Stegostoma tigrinum: one gene and its partner. The protein of the gene in region 1 interacts with the protein of each later gene in a biochemical or structural test. Links are inferred from orthologs where the notes say so. Each region holds a gene or a part of one and is shown on either strand. Other genes may lie near its edges.

Region 1 (7,916 bases):
CACTTCTCCTCATCTAAAACTCCCAACACATCACAGCACATAGCTGTTCTATACCTCCTGCCCCACCATTAGGCAAAAGCCAGGGGAACCATTAGATTCGCTGTGTGCCACATGGCCCAGCATCTTAAAGACTTGCATAGAGATAATACATTTCAAAACCTCGAGACTTTCAAAATCACTTCACAGCTAATGAAGTAGCTTTGTTATGGTTGTAATGTAGCAGTAGCAGCCATTTTGTCCTTAGCAAGCTTCCACATGTTGCAAATGTGTACACAATCAAAATATTTTTGCGATGTTGACCGAAAGATTAAAATATTAGTAAGTAGAACAAGCGAAAACTCCCCAGCTATTCTGTGAAATAATCCCATTAGAATTGTCCCTTTGAGACGAGATGGGAACCTCAATTTAAAATATCATTGGTAAAATGTACTGCACCAGAGAATCCAGTGCTTAGTGTGGGATTTGTAGCCACAATCTTTTGACTCAAAAGCAAGAATGGATTTCCGGTGAACCACAGATTACCCATCAAGTGAATCAGTCCGTGCCAAAATTTACATTTTATTCTGGACAACTAAATGCTTACAAAACTTGAATCCAAACTAACAACCGGCTTGATTCATAATGAGTTTTTTTTTCCTTTTGAGAATGTGTCACTACATATTTTTAAGGCAGAGCGAGACTGATTCCTTGACTGAAAAAAATCTAAAGTCATTGAGGGTAGATACAAAAATGTGGAATTTGAAAGCAAATAGATCAACCATGATATTAGGGAATGGCAGAGCAGGCTCAAGGGCCAAATGGCATACTTCAGCTCTTAATTCACATCATACAAATAAATCAATCTACCTCAGTAAAATAAAATGAGAAATCACTTATTTACTTGAAGCAAAAAGTTTTAAACTAACACAGGAAAAAATGAACAAGAGCACATTTAAATCCAGGCACAGTGCAAATTAGCTGGAATTCACAAAGCACCTGAACATACTCACTCTTTAACTTTTTACTTTCGTCACTTTCCGCTCCTTCCTCATTATCTTTTGACCTTTTCACTGATCTTTTTCCTGGCATTGTATTCTGATATTCCTGTCAAGCAACAAGCCCTGTTAGTGAAATACATATGCAGTGACTGAAAGCATCTGAGATTTAGCATAAAATTATGAGGGGCATGGGGTAAATAGCCATGGTCTTTTCCCAAGGATAGGGGGAGTCTGAATTTGTGATGAAAGTCATAAGGGTTATGGAAACAGACCCTTCAGTCCAACTCATCTATGCCGACCACGTATCCTAAACTGATCTAGACACATTTGCCAGCATTTTGCCCATATCCCTCTAAACCTTTCCTATTCCTGTACCCATTTAATGCCTTTTGAATGTTGTAATAGTACCCAATTCCTCTGGCTGCTTGTTCCATACACTCTCCAATCTCTGCATGAAAAAGATGCTCCTCAGTCCATTTTTCACCATGAACTATGCCCTTTAATTTCAGACTCCCCCTATCCTTGGGAAAAGACCTTGGCTATTTACCCCATGCGCCCCTCATAATTTTATGCAAGGCTATAAAGGTCCCATAAATTTAACCCCCAGTCTTTGATGGTCTAGGGGAAATGGCCCCAACCTATTCAGTCTCTCTCTATAATTCAAACTGTCCAATCCCAGAAAACTCCAAGTGAATCTCTTCTGAGCCTTTTCAAGTTTAACAACGTCTTTTCTATAGCAAGGAGGCTATAATTGAACACACTATTCCAAAAGTGGCCTCACCAATGTCCCATACAGCTGCAGCGTGAGCACTCAACGCACTGATCAATAAAGGTAAGCGTGCCAAACGATTTCTTCACCACCCCAACTACCTACAACTCAATTTTCAAGGAAATGTGCACCTGCACTCCTAGGTCTTTGTCCAGCAACATTCCCCAGAGCCCCACCAATTAGCTGCACAAATCCTGTCCTGGTTTGCCTTACCAAAATACACCAACACATTTCTCCAAATTAAACTCCATCTGCCATTCTTTGGCCCATGCACCAGAATACCTAGAACTGTTGAAAAAGTTTCTTTTTCTTTAATGTCTAACAATCCCAAGGAATAATAGACTATTTCAGATCATCGTAACTCGCTGTATCAAGGATAAAACAAAACCTCCACGCCTCTCCGGTTCCAAGGGCACTGTATTAAACGTTTACATATTTAAGAAAATGATCCTAAGTTCCGTCATTGTGTAAACGTTGGAAAATTACCCGCTCACACAAACTTCGTGCGGGGCCCCCAAGTACGTTCAAAGGTCTGAAATCTCTCCCCATCATCCAACAAACCGACCACAGGGCCAACACACTTTAACTAAATACCACCCTCCAGAGGAGATGCCGAGGCTGAGTTAATACACACAGGGCGAGAGGAATCACAACAAACAGCGCGAAGACCTCAGTAAGGTGACGGTGCGGAGATGGTGACTCTGGATGGTTTGTCAGCACCAGGCCCCAGCGAGGAGCTCCCAGCCCGATATCCGAGGAGGGTGGTGGAAGGAGGCTCCCAGCCCGATATCCGGGGAGGGTGGTGGAAGGAGGCTCCCAGCCCGATATCCGGGGAGGGTAGTGGAAGGAGGCTCCCAGCCCGACCAGAACCGCCGCTTTTAAAACTCCCGCGTCCGGAATCAAACTACTCACCTTCCCCCAACCCGTTTAAGAAAAAAAAACTTTACTGACAAAGCGAGTTAGCCCAGACAAAACATTGGTCGAGCTGACAAAGGGAAAGGGTAGGACGGGGATCAGAGTTAGTCAGGTTGGAGGCCGCACTCGCAGCAACATGGGGAGGGAGGAAGAGAGAGAGAGTGGAGACTAGGACTGCAGTCTCCGAACATTCCAGAAGATCCCCGTCCCCACGGGGTATGCCGCCTTCGCCATGACTTCGCCATTACGGAAGCACATATTTACCATTTCCTCTCACAGACCTGGCCCGTAAGCTCTCGCTCTCGCTCTCCCTCTCCCCGGGACACGCTCGCGCTCTCTCCCGGTTCAGGCAGCGCCTGCGCACACGGCACAGAGGAGCCCGCGCGCTCCGTTTGAATTGAGAGGTCCGTCGGGCGGTGGGGAAGCGGGAGGAGAGACCGGTAAAGCGGGATTCAGCACCATCCCACCCCCCGAAGGCAGGGGGTTCCGTACCGAGAGGCTGCCCCTGACACTCCCTAAAGACAGAGAACCGGTATTCGGCGCTACAAGCCTGCCTGGCCGATCCTCTCCCTACCCCACCCCACAGGCAGCTTGCCTGTGTCTGTCCATCTCCCTACCTCTACCCCAACCCCACAGGCAGCCTGCCTGACCCTCTTTCTCCCACCACACCACCTGCACGGTCAACAATAACCAAAAACATAGCATTCGTTTCCCCATCCCACCCATAACATGCAGCTGTACCCACCTCTCTACTCATTTCCTGTTGCTAAAACTTCCCAATATAGGGGATTGCTTTTGGTCCCCATTCTAAACGCTCACCTACTGACTTTTTTTAACGTTGTCTCTAAAGGAAACTATAGCCTGCAAGAAAGAACTGTTTCGAAAACAGCGATTTAACCCTCTTGTGGCGCAGTAGTAAGGACTTCTGGATCAGGAAGCCCGGTTCAAGTCCCACCTGCACCAGAGGTAAATAGGAACATCTTGAAACAAGGTGGTTAGAAAAATGGGTTTACCAGGCTTGCTGCATAATGTCATAGCAAAGAATCGATACGTGTTGTAAACTCCATCTTGTCGTCATGAGTTCCTGTATGAGATGATGAGTTTACAAAACTGATTGGTCGTCAATTAACATAGCAGGTTGGAACTGCAAGCAAGTTTCAGATCCAGGGGTAATGGGAACTGCAGAATCCAAGATAACAAAGTGTGGAGCTGGACGAACACAGCAGGCCAAGCAGCATCTTAGGAGCACAAAAGCTGACGTTTTGGGCCTAGACCCTTTCCTGCAGTACTTGTGATGACCTGTGACTTCTGAATTGGTAAATGTCTTCTTTCCCCCAGCCTTTCAACTGGTCTGTGATACTTACAAATCAATGTAAATTTTCAGAGACATCTAACAAGGAACTAGCCGATAAATTAACATCTCACCATCAGAACCGAGAAGCAACGACCATTGAACTTTTTTTTCTGATGAAGGGTCTAGGCCCGAAATGTCAGCTTTTGTGGTCGTAAGATGCTGCTTGGTCTGCTGTGTTCATCCAGCTTCACACTTTATCTTACATTGAACAGACTTCCTGGTCTTTTTTATACTACAGCAATTAATCTATCTACTTATATAATTTTAAGGGGATTAGATTAGTTGTCAGAATTTAGCTAGAAATAGGAGGGTTTGAGTTTCGAGGCTGGGATTTTTTCACCAGAGCACAGAAAGTTGAGAGGTGGCATCATTGAGGCTTATAAAATAATAAAAAGGTATAGAAGAGGTGAGTGGCAGGTGCCTTTTCCCTAGGATGTGTGATTTCAAGAGTAAAAGGACATATTTTCTAAGGGAGAGGAGAAGGAGTTGAAAGACAGTTGGGGCAGTTATTTTACAGAGACTGGTTCGTGTGTAAAATGAACTTTGAGAAATGGTGAGAGTTACAACATTAAAAAGACATTTACATAGATACAAGTAAAAAATGTTTGGAGGGCTATGAACCAAGCACAGGCAAGGTGGGACTGTTTTAGTTTGGGTCTGTGGTCGGTAAGGACAGGCTGGTCTGTTTGAACTGTATGTCTATGTTTTAGTCATCTACCCCAATATATCTTGCATGGCTATTCAAATTGTTTCCTAATGCTCCTGTACCATGTTTGGACAAGTTAAAGTTGTTGCCACTAACTACATTGGTTAATATTGTTACACTGGCACAGGGTTACATATTGCCCAGAAACAAATTCACTCATTTTTGAATGGTGATATGAGATTTATAGGGAAAGACACAACTGCACTTTTGATGGTACAGCACATCCCCAACAATGCACTAAAGTGTCAACCTAAAGTTTTGTTGACTGGGAACTGAACCTACAACCTTGATTTACAATGGGATTGTTACTAGAGTGGTCAAAGCTTGGAAGCCTGTCCCACAGAGCAAACTCATACTTGAGGACAAAATGGAGTAAAAGCACGTAAATAAACGTGAATAAGGTGTAGAGCTGGATGAACACAGCAGGTCAGGCAGCATCAGAGGAGCAGGAAAGCTACTTTGAGTCTGGGCCCTTCTTCAGATTCCAGCATTGGCAGTTTGTACTATCTCTAAATAAATGGGAGTTTTCAGACAGATCAACAATGAACAGCCTCAAGCACCTGAATGATCTGTTTTCAAAGCAAAGGAAAATGGTGTAAAAATCAATCCATGCTTGCATTACGTTTCACCAGGAGGACATTCAAATCCATTACAGCCAAAATAATTGTTTTGAAATGTGGTCAATGTTGAAACAAATTAATGGAGTGAATCAGGTGGAAAGTCAAAGACAGACCATGGCAATGGAGAAAAACTGATCTCTTGCATTTTAATTTTATTTAAATATGCAAAACATACAAAAGTTTAGTGATAACTTGGTTTTGTACATAGTTGCATATACAACTCAAACAGCACTCGTGTGAAGTACACCACAGCTGGTGAAGCAGTATCTGAAATAAAGCAGATATAACAGCAGATTAGTAAGTGGACAAGATGCAAATAAACATACCTATCTAAACATCTTTTCAAAGATCCAAATGGCATCTACAAATCAAAATGACTGCCACTTGTAAAGCTATTTTATAATCTGCTGCCAGGACATTTTATACCTAATACACATTCCTATATGACAGGATAGGAAGTACTATTGTGTGACAACCATGCTTTCAACATTATGAAAGCTCACAAGCCAGAAGATAAACCAATATTCCACTTCTTTGCAGGCATCTCATGTTTCTGGCATGATCACATCTTCAATGTCTCTTATTTATCCCTCACCCAGATAGGAGTTGCCAAGTTTTACAAATGCGACAATGATGCCAATGTGAAAACTTTGCATTTTATTTTTCTCACCAAAGTCAGGGCCAAAGAATAATGTGAAAACTTATTTGCTGCCTTGACAACACAAATCAAAGATGCCTATGTAAGGATTTAGATCTATTCTTATTGTGTTCTGCATGGTTTATCTCCACAGTCACTGTTCAGATTGCAAAGGTCTAGGAATATACAGGATGCTGTCCTCACCAGCTGAAAGCCAGGGACATGCTTTCTCTCCAACGTCGCGGAACGGGACTGTGTGTCACAGACAGAATGTCTACACTCCCATATGCCACATGGACAGAGCCAAACAAGAGCAACCTTGCTGGATGCCCACGTTGGGTTTTCAATTTCTGAAGTCATGCAAGAAAAAAAAGAGAGAAAAAAATCACCTTCACCACCATGCATTTAATTTCAGCGTTCCTGGTTTACAGCCTCTGCTTCATTCAGGATGGATAAAATACAGTCTTCACTGCAGAACAAGCAAAGTTCATCAAATAATTACAACAAACCTTGACACTTATTATAGAACAATATAATCTTCTCTTCACAACAGTCCAGACCAAACATCTCTAATTTTCCAATTCACAATCAACTGTACCCTGCATGGTTTATCTCCTCAGTCATCTTACACACTGAGAAGGTCTAGGAATATACAGGATGCTGTCCTCACCAGCCCGAAAGCCAGGGACATGCTTTCTCTCCAACGTCGTGGAATGGGACTGTGTGTCACAGACAGAATGTCTACACTCCCCTACGCCACATGGACAGAGCCAGACAAGAGCAACCTTGCTGGATGCCCACGTTGGGTTTTCAATTTCTGAAATCAGGCAAGATAAAAATTCACCTTCATCACAGTGCATTCAGTTTCTGCATTCCTGGTTTTCACCATCTTCCTCATTCAGGATGGATAAAATACAGTCCTCACTGCAGAACAAGCACAGTTCATCAACTAATTACAACAAACCTCGATCACTTACTACAGAAAAATATTATCTTATCTTCACAACAGTCCAGACCAAACATCTCTAATATGTTCCAATTCACAATCAACTGTACCCTGCATGGTTTATCTCCTCAGTCACCTTACACACTGAGGTGGTCTAGGAATATACGGGATACTGTCCTCACCAGCCCGAAAGCCGGGGACACACATGCTCTCCAACGTTATGGAATTGGACTGTACGTCATTGACCCCAGAGGCCTACGCTCCCATGCGCCACATGGACAGAGCTAGATGTGAGCAACCTCGCCAGATACCCACGTTGGATATATCACAGAAACACAAGCCCACTGCTGAACTTTATTTATAAAAACGGTAATTGTTAACTGGAAAATCAACTTAGATTTTTATTGTGCAATAGAGCTAATGTACAAGGAATATTCACATAAATGCTTACCTCTTACTTCACATCCAACTTTTCCCAAATGATCCCCATGAACTTGTCAATTCAAAATCACTCAGCTGTTCTTGCTATCCCCAGCTGTCTTCCAACAAATGTTGCCCCTGCAATAGAAAAAGTTCAGTGTTAAATTTGGAACTCTTCCACAAGCATCCAATTCAAACAACAGTCGTCAAAAGGAGGTCAAATTACCTCCAAAGTGATAACAATGCTCGCCTCAGTAATCAGTAAACTTGAGTTCAGGATGAGAATTAACAACCCGCTAATTTCTAACTGAAGTGACCTGGGCACCATCAGCTTGAAAGCATTTCTGAACTATCAGGAAATAGATTTTTATGAAAGATTCTATAAACAGGAATCCTATCCTCAGAATAGCAACTATTGAGCAGTAACTTATCCAGAAGTTTTTTGGGATTTTGAAAGAAATCAACACAGCAAATACAGAACTTCTTCCTGCTAGTATATTCAGGTGAAACAACATTAGAATCAGTCAGGGAGTTGGTCATGTCAGGAAAAACATCTTCACACAATACAGTTG
Region 2 (7,046 bases), on another chromosome or scaffold:
GGATAGAATGAATGCATATAGTCTTTTTCCTAGGGATGGGAACTGAAAACTAGAGGGCATAGATTTAAGATGAGAGATGATAGATTTAAGAAGGACCTGAGGGGCAACTTTTTCACACAGAGAGTTGTGTATATATGGATTGGGTTGCAGGAGAAAATAGTTGATGCTGGTACAATAGCAACATGTAAAAAAACACATTTGGAATAGGAACATGGAAGAGAAGAGTTTAGAGGGATATGGACCAAATGTAGGTGATTTGAACTAGCCAAGTGGGCACCATGGTCAGCATGGACCAGATTGGGTTGAAGGTCCTGTTTCCGTGCTGTATTACTCGATGACTCTTATGAACACCGTAGTCTTAAATTCTACGCCTGCATTAACAACGGAAAGCATGGCATTTGGTCTCCTAACTACTTTCTGAATCCCAGCTATTTGTGACATATGTCAACTAATTCAATGGGGGAATCAACTGCGATATTGCATTTCCCGCAACACATCCCTCACACCCCACCCCCACAATAACCGCCCTAAGAGAATCCCCCTCGTTCTCACACACCACCCCACCAACCTCCGGATACAACGCATCATCCTCCGACACGTCCGCCATCTACAACCAACCCCACCACCCAAGACATTTTTCCATTCCCACCCTTGTCTGAGTTCCGGAGAGACCATTCTCTCCGTGACTCCCTTGTCCGCTCCACACTCCCCTCCAACCCCACCACATCCCGCACCTTCCCCTGCAACCGCAGGAAGTGCTATACTTGCCCCCACACCTCCTCCCTCACCCCCCTCCCAGGCCCCAAGATGACTTTCCATATTAAGCAGATGTTCAACTGCACATCTGCCAATGTGGTATACTGTATCCACTGTACCCGTTGTGGCTTCCTCTACATTGGGGAAACCAAGCGGAGGCTTGGGGACCGCGTTGCAGAACACCTCCACTCGGTTCGCAATAAACAAACGCACCTCCCAGTCGCGAACCATTTTAACTCCTCCTCCCATTCCTTAGACGACATGTCCATCATGGGCCTCCTGCAGTGCCACAATGATGCCACCCGAAGGTTGCAGGAACAGCAACTCATATTCCGCTTGGGAACCCTGCAGCCCAATGGTATCAATGTGGACTTTACCAGCTTCAAAATCTCCCCTTCCCCCACTGCATCCCAAAACCAGCCCAGCTCGTCCTCTCCCCCCCACTGCATCCCAAAACCAGCCCAGCTCGTCCCTGCCTCCCTAACCTGTTCTTCCTTTCACTTATCCCTTCCTCCCACCTCAAGCCGCACCTCCATTTCCCACCTACTAACCTCATCCCACCTCCTTGACCTGTCCGTCCTCCCGGACTGACCTATCCCCTCACCACCTATACTCTCCTCTCCACCTATCTTCTCCTCTATCCATCTTCAGTCTGCCTCCCCCTCTCCCCATTCCCCTCTCTGATGAAGGGTCTAGGCCCAAAACATCAGCTTTTGTGCTCCTGAGATGCTGCTTGGCCTGCTGTGTTCATCCAGCCCCACACTTTGTTATCTTGGATTCTCCAGCATCTGCAGTTCCCATTATCTCTGCAATATTTCAATGTTTGCTACTGTAAAAACTAGGGGGATGTGTGAGTTGTGATGAGGATATCAAGGTGGTTCAGCTTATTTAGACAAGTTGAGTGAGTGAGTAAATAGACAGCAGACACAGGACAACATAGATAAATGTGAAGTTGTCCACTTTGATACGAAAAGCAGTGTGGCAAAGCATTATTTAAATGGTGGTAGACTGGGAAATGTTAATGTATGACACGACACAGGAGCAGACATAGATCTTCAGCCCATCATGTCTTCTCTGCCATATAATGAGATCAAGACTGATGTGATAATCCTCAACTCCACTTTGCTTCATTTACAAAGTGACAGGTGCTTATGCATCAGTCATTGAAGACAAACGTGTAGGTCCAGCAAGACATTAGGAAGTCAAATGGTATGTTGGCCTTCATTGCAAGAGGGTTTGGGTATGGGATTGAAATCATTTTACTGCAGCTGTCCAAGGCCTTTTGAGATCACAACTGGATACTATATGTAAAAAAGTATATTGTTGCCGATAGAGGAAATGTTATGCAAGGTCACAAGACTGAATCGTGGGATGGCAAGTTTATTCAAAAAGGACAGATTATATTGACTGGATGTGTTTTTACTGGAGTTTAGCAGAATGAGAGGTGGTCTCATTGAAACTTAAAATTCTGATAGGGATTGACAGACTGCCTGGAGGGATGGTGATTTCCCTGGCCAGCGATCCCAGAACAAGGGGTTACAGTTTCAGGGTACAAGGTTACATATTTCAGACTGAAATGAAGAGAAATTTCTCCACTCAGTAGGTAGTGAACATGTGAAATTCTCCTCAAGATGAAGCCGTAGTATTGAAATAACAGATCAGCCATGATGATGTTGAAAGGTGGAACAAACTCGATGCACTTATTTTCTATGTTTCTAGCCTGTTCTGTTTTCAAGGATAGGTGCATTCTAAAATTCCAAAGGACCTCTGTTCCTCTATAAGAGTCAGTATCATCCTGGTTAACATATATCCTCTTGTCTATTGTACTACTTCTCTTGTTGGAATTTTCTTTTTCATTTTCTGCCCAACCAACCTGCTCATCTACATCTTTCTGCAGTCTAAACCTTTCTTTTCACTGTCAAAACTCACACTGTTGCCAAGATTCATTTCAGTTAAAATATTTTTATCATGCATCTTGGATTACAGCCTACATCAAAAATATAAACTAAAAAACCCAAGGGTCAAGTACGGAGTCCTGCAGATCTCCCATGGAAACATGACTTCCAGCAGCAAAATAACCTGTCAACAACTAACTTTTGCTTCATGCCACTAAGCCAATTATGGATCCAAGGTGGCACTCTCTTTTGGCTTATACATTTTTGACCAGGTTGCTACGATTTTGTGAAAAGCCTTGCTAATATCCAAATAGGTTGTATCCATGCTGATTTTTAAAAATTAGTCGACTTTTTGAACTGAGATTGCTCTAGACACTACTGATCTTCTTGGTATTTAGCATAGACAACATTTGCTTGAGAGAGATGCCTCTGATTTTACATGCAGTTGCCTCCACATTGTGCTCATAGCACTACAGAAGAGAAACAAAAATTACTAAAACAAAACAGGAGAGTAGAACTAGGCACGTTGGTCTTGCAGAGACAGGATGAATCGCAACGCCCACTGTGTTGCAACCATTTTATGTTTCTAATGATGAATTATATCAATTTCAGCTACAGATCACATTCCCACATTGTAGCAGCGAGGCCAGCCATGTTGAACCCTCAAAAGATGTCCACCTCTCACTCTAAAAACAACAGACAATGCTGCAAATACGCAGCAGGTTTGGCACTATCACTGGGGCGAAGAATGTTCCAACTCCATGACCTTGATCATCTATGGTCGGTCCCACAGATGCACTATAACCAGCATTTCCGTTTTGACTTCAAATTCCCATCATCCGGGATGCATTGTTTTTGTTTTGACGCACTCTAATCCCAGTGGCCTGTTTGATATAAACTTCCTCAAACAGAACGAGTTAGAGATTAAACTCGGCTCACCATGCGGAGGCGCATGCGCTCTGCTGCCGCGAACGAGTCATTTAACAGGCGATTTATTCCCGTCCCTGCTCTGTCGATCACTCACGAAGCCGCCGCTGCCTGTTGGGTGACTGACTGACTATGAAACCGCTTCCTGAAAATAATCTCCGATCTCTCCACCCCTCACCGTCCCTCCCCGACAACGGACAGGTCACCAGCTGCAAGCAGGCAGCGCAAGCGCACTACACGGACCGTTGGTCATTGACGGTTAGCCCCGCCCTGAGCAACATGTGCGCGTGCGCTCTCTTGGAGACTTCTGTCATCGGTAGTTTCCCTGCAAGCACCGCCGGGCACTCAGCAACAAGTGCGCACGCGCGATTCTGCACCCCTCCCCACCCCCAAAAAGTGGCGCCTCTGAGGATAAGCCGCATGCGCATTGCTACTTTCCGTTCGCGGTGAATTGTGGGGACGCGGAGAATCCTAAAATGGCGGATCTAGCCAACGAAGGTAAGCAGGTGAAAATGAGCATGGAGCGCGGCTCAAGCGAGGTGTTGGGGGTGTAGCTTCTTTAGTCCAAGATGTGCACGCAGCTGCCTCAGGTTTCTGCCTCAGGTTTCTGCCTCAGCCTCAGTGCAGTGTCGGTGTCCGCTGAATGGGTAGACTAAGGGGAGGAACGAGTTGCACACACCCACAACAAAACACCGGCTAACCAGGCCAAAGCGTCAAACAAATCAGTAACAAAATCAAATAGTGTTAATCGTTTGGATAGTTACAAGAGGAAGGGGTAAGGCTCGAAAAGAAAGTATGTGTCTGTTAGAGGTAAACGGTGAGAAACAGAAAGTGATTGAAACATAAACCTGCCAGAAAACGGGAAGGGGGAGCGTTCGAGAAGGAGAATTAGGAAATGAACGGTGAGATAGAAAGCTCCGAAAGTGATTCGGAAAGAAAACAGTAAGAGGGAGAAAGCCACCAGGGCAGTGGGTGGGGTATAATAACAGGGTTAAGGGAAGAATCAGTGTGGGTAGCAGCAAGAAAAGAAGGTGGTTGGTAAGGGAGTGATCGGGGAGGAGACACAAGGGGAAATTAGTAATGCGGCAAGATTAGATTCAGCGAGTTGTGATCAGACCGGACGGTGGTGTGAACGAGTGAAATGAGGGAAATGGCAGAAGGAAATTGTGATGAAAGCAGATGGGAAGAGACAAGTTGGATAGAGGGGGAGTAGGAGGGTACAAAGTGCAGAGAATGTAATTTGGAGTATGCCACTAACTTGTTGAGCCTGTCCATCGTTCAGTAAGGTCATGGCTAATGTGGGTTGAGGTCTCCACTTCACTTCCTTTTTGACCAAAAATCTCTCAAGTTCAATCTTGAATAAATTTAAAGTCCCAGCATCCACTACCTTTTAGGGAAGTGTGTTCCACGTACAATAGATTCAGGAAAAATAATTGTCAGCTCTGTCTTACAAAAGAGAACTCGTCTTAAACTGTATCTGTCGGTTTCAGTATCTGCAAGAGGATATATCCTCCTGGCATCTATTGTTCACTGCCCTTGAGATCTTGTATGCTCAATTCTGGATGTAGGTCTAACCTGTTCAACCTTTATCATAAAATAAGCCCTTCACCCCAGTCCAAAGTGATGGAGGTGAGTGAAGAACCTTGGTGCTAGAGAAGAACGTGAAGGAGTAAGGGACAGATGAGAAATGCAGAGATGAATAAGAGAAATCAATAGAGAAATCATAGGCTATTTAGCCTCACTGTGTTCAATTACAGATTAGCTGTGGTTTAGCTCCGTTTTCCAACCTTTCCTCCATATCCTGGTGATTTCTCATCAGAAGATTTCAGTTGACTCAGAATCTAGAATTTTCTCAACACACTGCTTGTGTGGGGAAATATGCTAGCTAATCCCTCTCCCAAATTGCTAACCTATTTTGAGGTTGTGCATCCATATTCTGGATTCTCTTATCTCAGGAAATGGTTTCTTTGTACCTACCCTATCAAATCTCTCTGATTTTAAGGACCTTATTTGGATCAAGCTTCTAAACAAAATCAAACCAAGTTTTGCAAACTCTTCATTTACTCATTTTATCCCTGATAGCATCATAAATGAGGATTTGTAGGTCATTTGAGAGCAGATAGTTCTGGTAGAGGTGAAAACTATTCTCACGAAAGGGAAGGGAAGGATTTCAAGTCCCTGGATGACTAAAGATAAGCAGATTAAAATGAAACAGGAAGAAGTTTATGATAAAAGGACAGTTTCATAATTGAGTAGACAACCAAATCAAAAAGAACTGGTCCTGACCCGAAACGCTAGCTTTCCTGCTCCTCTGATGCTGCGTGGCCTGCTGTGTTCCTCCAGCTCCACGGTGTGTTTTCTCTGACTCCAGCAATGACAGTTCTTATTATTGCTGACAAATATAATGAGTGGGATAACTGGTTAGAATCATATCTAGTACCAAGATAGATAATGGCAGTTGATCAAGGCCTTCAGCTCAGCCTGAGGACAATGCTGCTGTAACTCTTCAGATGGCCTCCAACCCCAACTATTGGTGGCTGTTTCATCAACAGCTTTTCTCCCATGCTGAGTAGGAATGGTCATTGTGATTGTGCAGTTGTCAGTACCACTCACAATACCACAACCACTGTAATAGTCAATGTCTTTATGCAGCAAGTTCTCGATATCATTCAGGCATGGACTGATAGTAACAATTAACATTTCTGCTGCACAAGTATTGTGCAATGACCAATTTCCGAAGGGCAAATCTAACTCTCACTCCTTGATTAATACAAAGAACTGTGGATTGTGAAAATTCAGAACAAAAGCAGAAATTGTTGGAGGAACTCAGCAGGCATAGCAGCATCTGTGGAAAGAAAGCAGAGTTAAAATTTCAAGACCAGTGATCGATCCTTCTTTGCTGTTTGATATTCAATGGCATTACAATGCATATATCAGGAGTGTGATGAAATCCACTCCACTTGGAAATATAAGCATAGAAAGTTGGAGTAGGCCATTCGGCTCTACAAATCTGCTTTGCCATTCAAAATGTTCGTGGTAGATCAGCCAACGCAGTACCTTCTCCTGCTTTTTCCCCATGCCAGTTGATCCCTTTAGTCCTAACAAGTATATCTAAGTTCTTCTTGGAAGCACTCACATGTTTTAGCCTCAGCCACTTCAGTGGCGGAGTAAATACACAGGCTCATTACACTGGGGGAAGGATTTCTTCCAACATTCAAGAAGCACGACACCAGAACAAAGCAGCCCACTTGAGTGGCACCTCATCCACGATATTAAACACCAATTCCTTCCACATCCAGTGGTAGCAAGACTGTATCAAAAACAAAATGCTTTGCAGAAATCTGCCAAGCCTCCAACAACAGCACCTTCGATATTCATGACTTCTGCCACAAGATCAATGGGCATAAGGGAACACCATCTTCTAGTCATACGTCATCCTGATATGTATCGGTATTGCCCCAACATTCT

The links.
Region 2: the proteins of rcc1 (region 1) and ran-binding protein 3 form a complex in vitro, tested with the Homo sapiens proteins (2 studies listed by BioGRID). The link is inferred for Stegostoma tigrinum from reciprocal best matches to the Homo sapiens genes RCC1 and RANBP3.

Annotation. Positions count from the first base shown.
Region 1 is NC_081377.1:28,042,639-28,050,554, reverse strand, and holds the start of rcc1 (regulator of chromosome condensation), read right to left. Parts: upstream 3,049-7,916; 5' UTR 2,929-3,048; coding exon 2,926-2,928; intron 2,900-2,925; exon of another isoform or gene 2,659-2,899; intron 2,601-2,658; exon of another isoform or gene 2,416-2,600; intron 2,402-2,415; exon of another isoform or gene 2,381-2,401; intron 1,101-2,380; exon of another isoform or gene 1,084-1,100; coding exon 990-1,083; intron 1-989. UniProt on the Homo sapiens protein: Guanine-nucleotide releasing factor that promotes the exchange of Ran-bound GDP by GTP, and thereby plays an important role in RAN-mediated functions in nuclear import and mitosis.
Region 2 is NC_081383.1:25,610,802-25,617,847, forward strand, and holds the start of ran-binding protein 3, read left to right. Parts: upstream 1-3,975; 5' UTR 3,976-4,054; coding exon 4,055-4,076; intron 4,077-7,046. UniProt on the Homo sapiens protein: Acts as a cofactor for XPO1/CRM1-mediated nuclear export, perhaps as export complex scaffolding protein. Bound to XPO1/CRM1, stabilizes the XPO1/CRM1-cargo interaction. In the absence of Ran-bound GTP prevents binding of XPO1/CRM1 to the nuclear pore complex.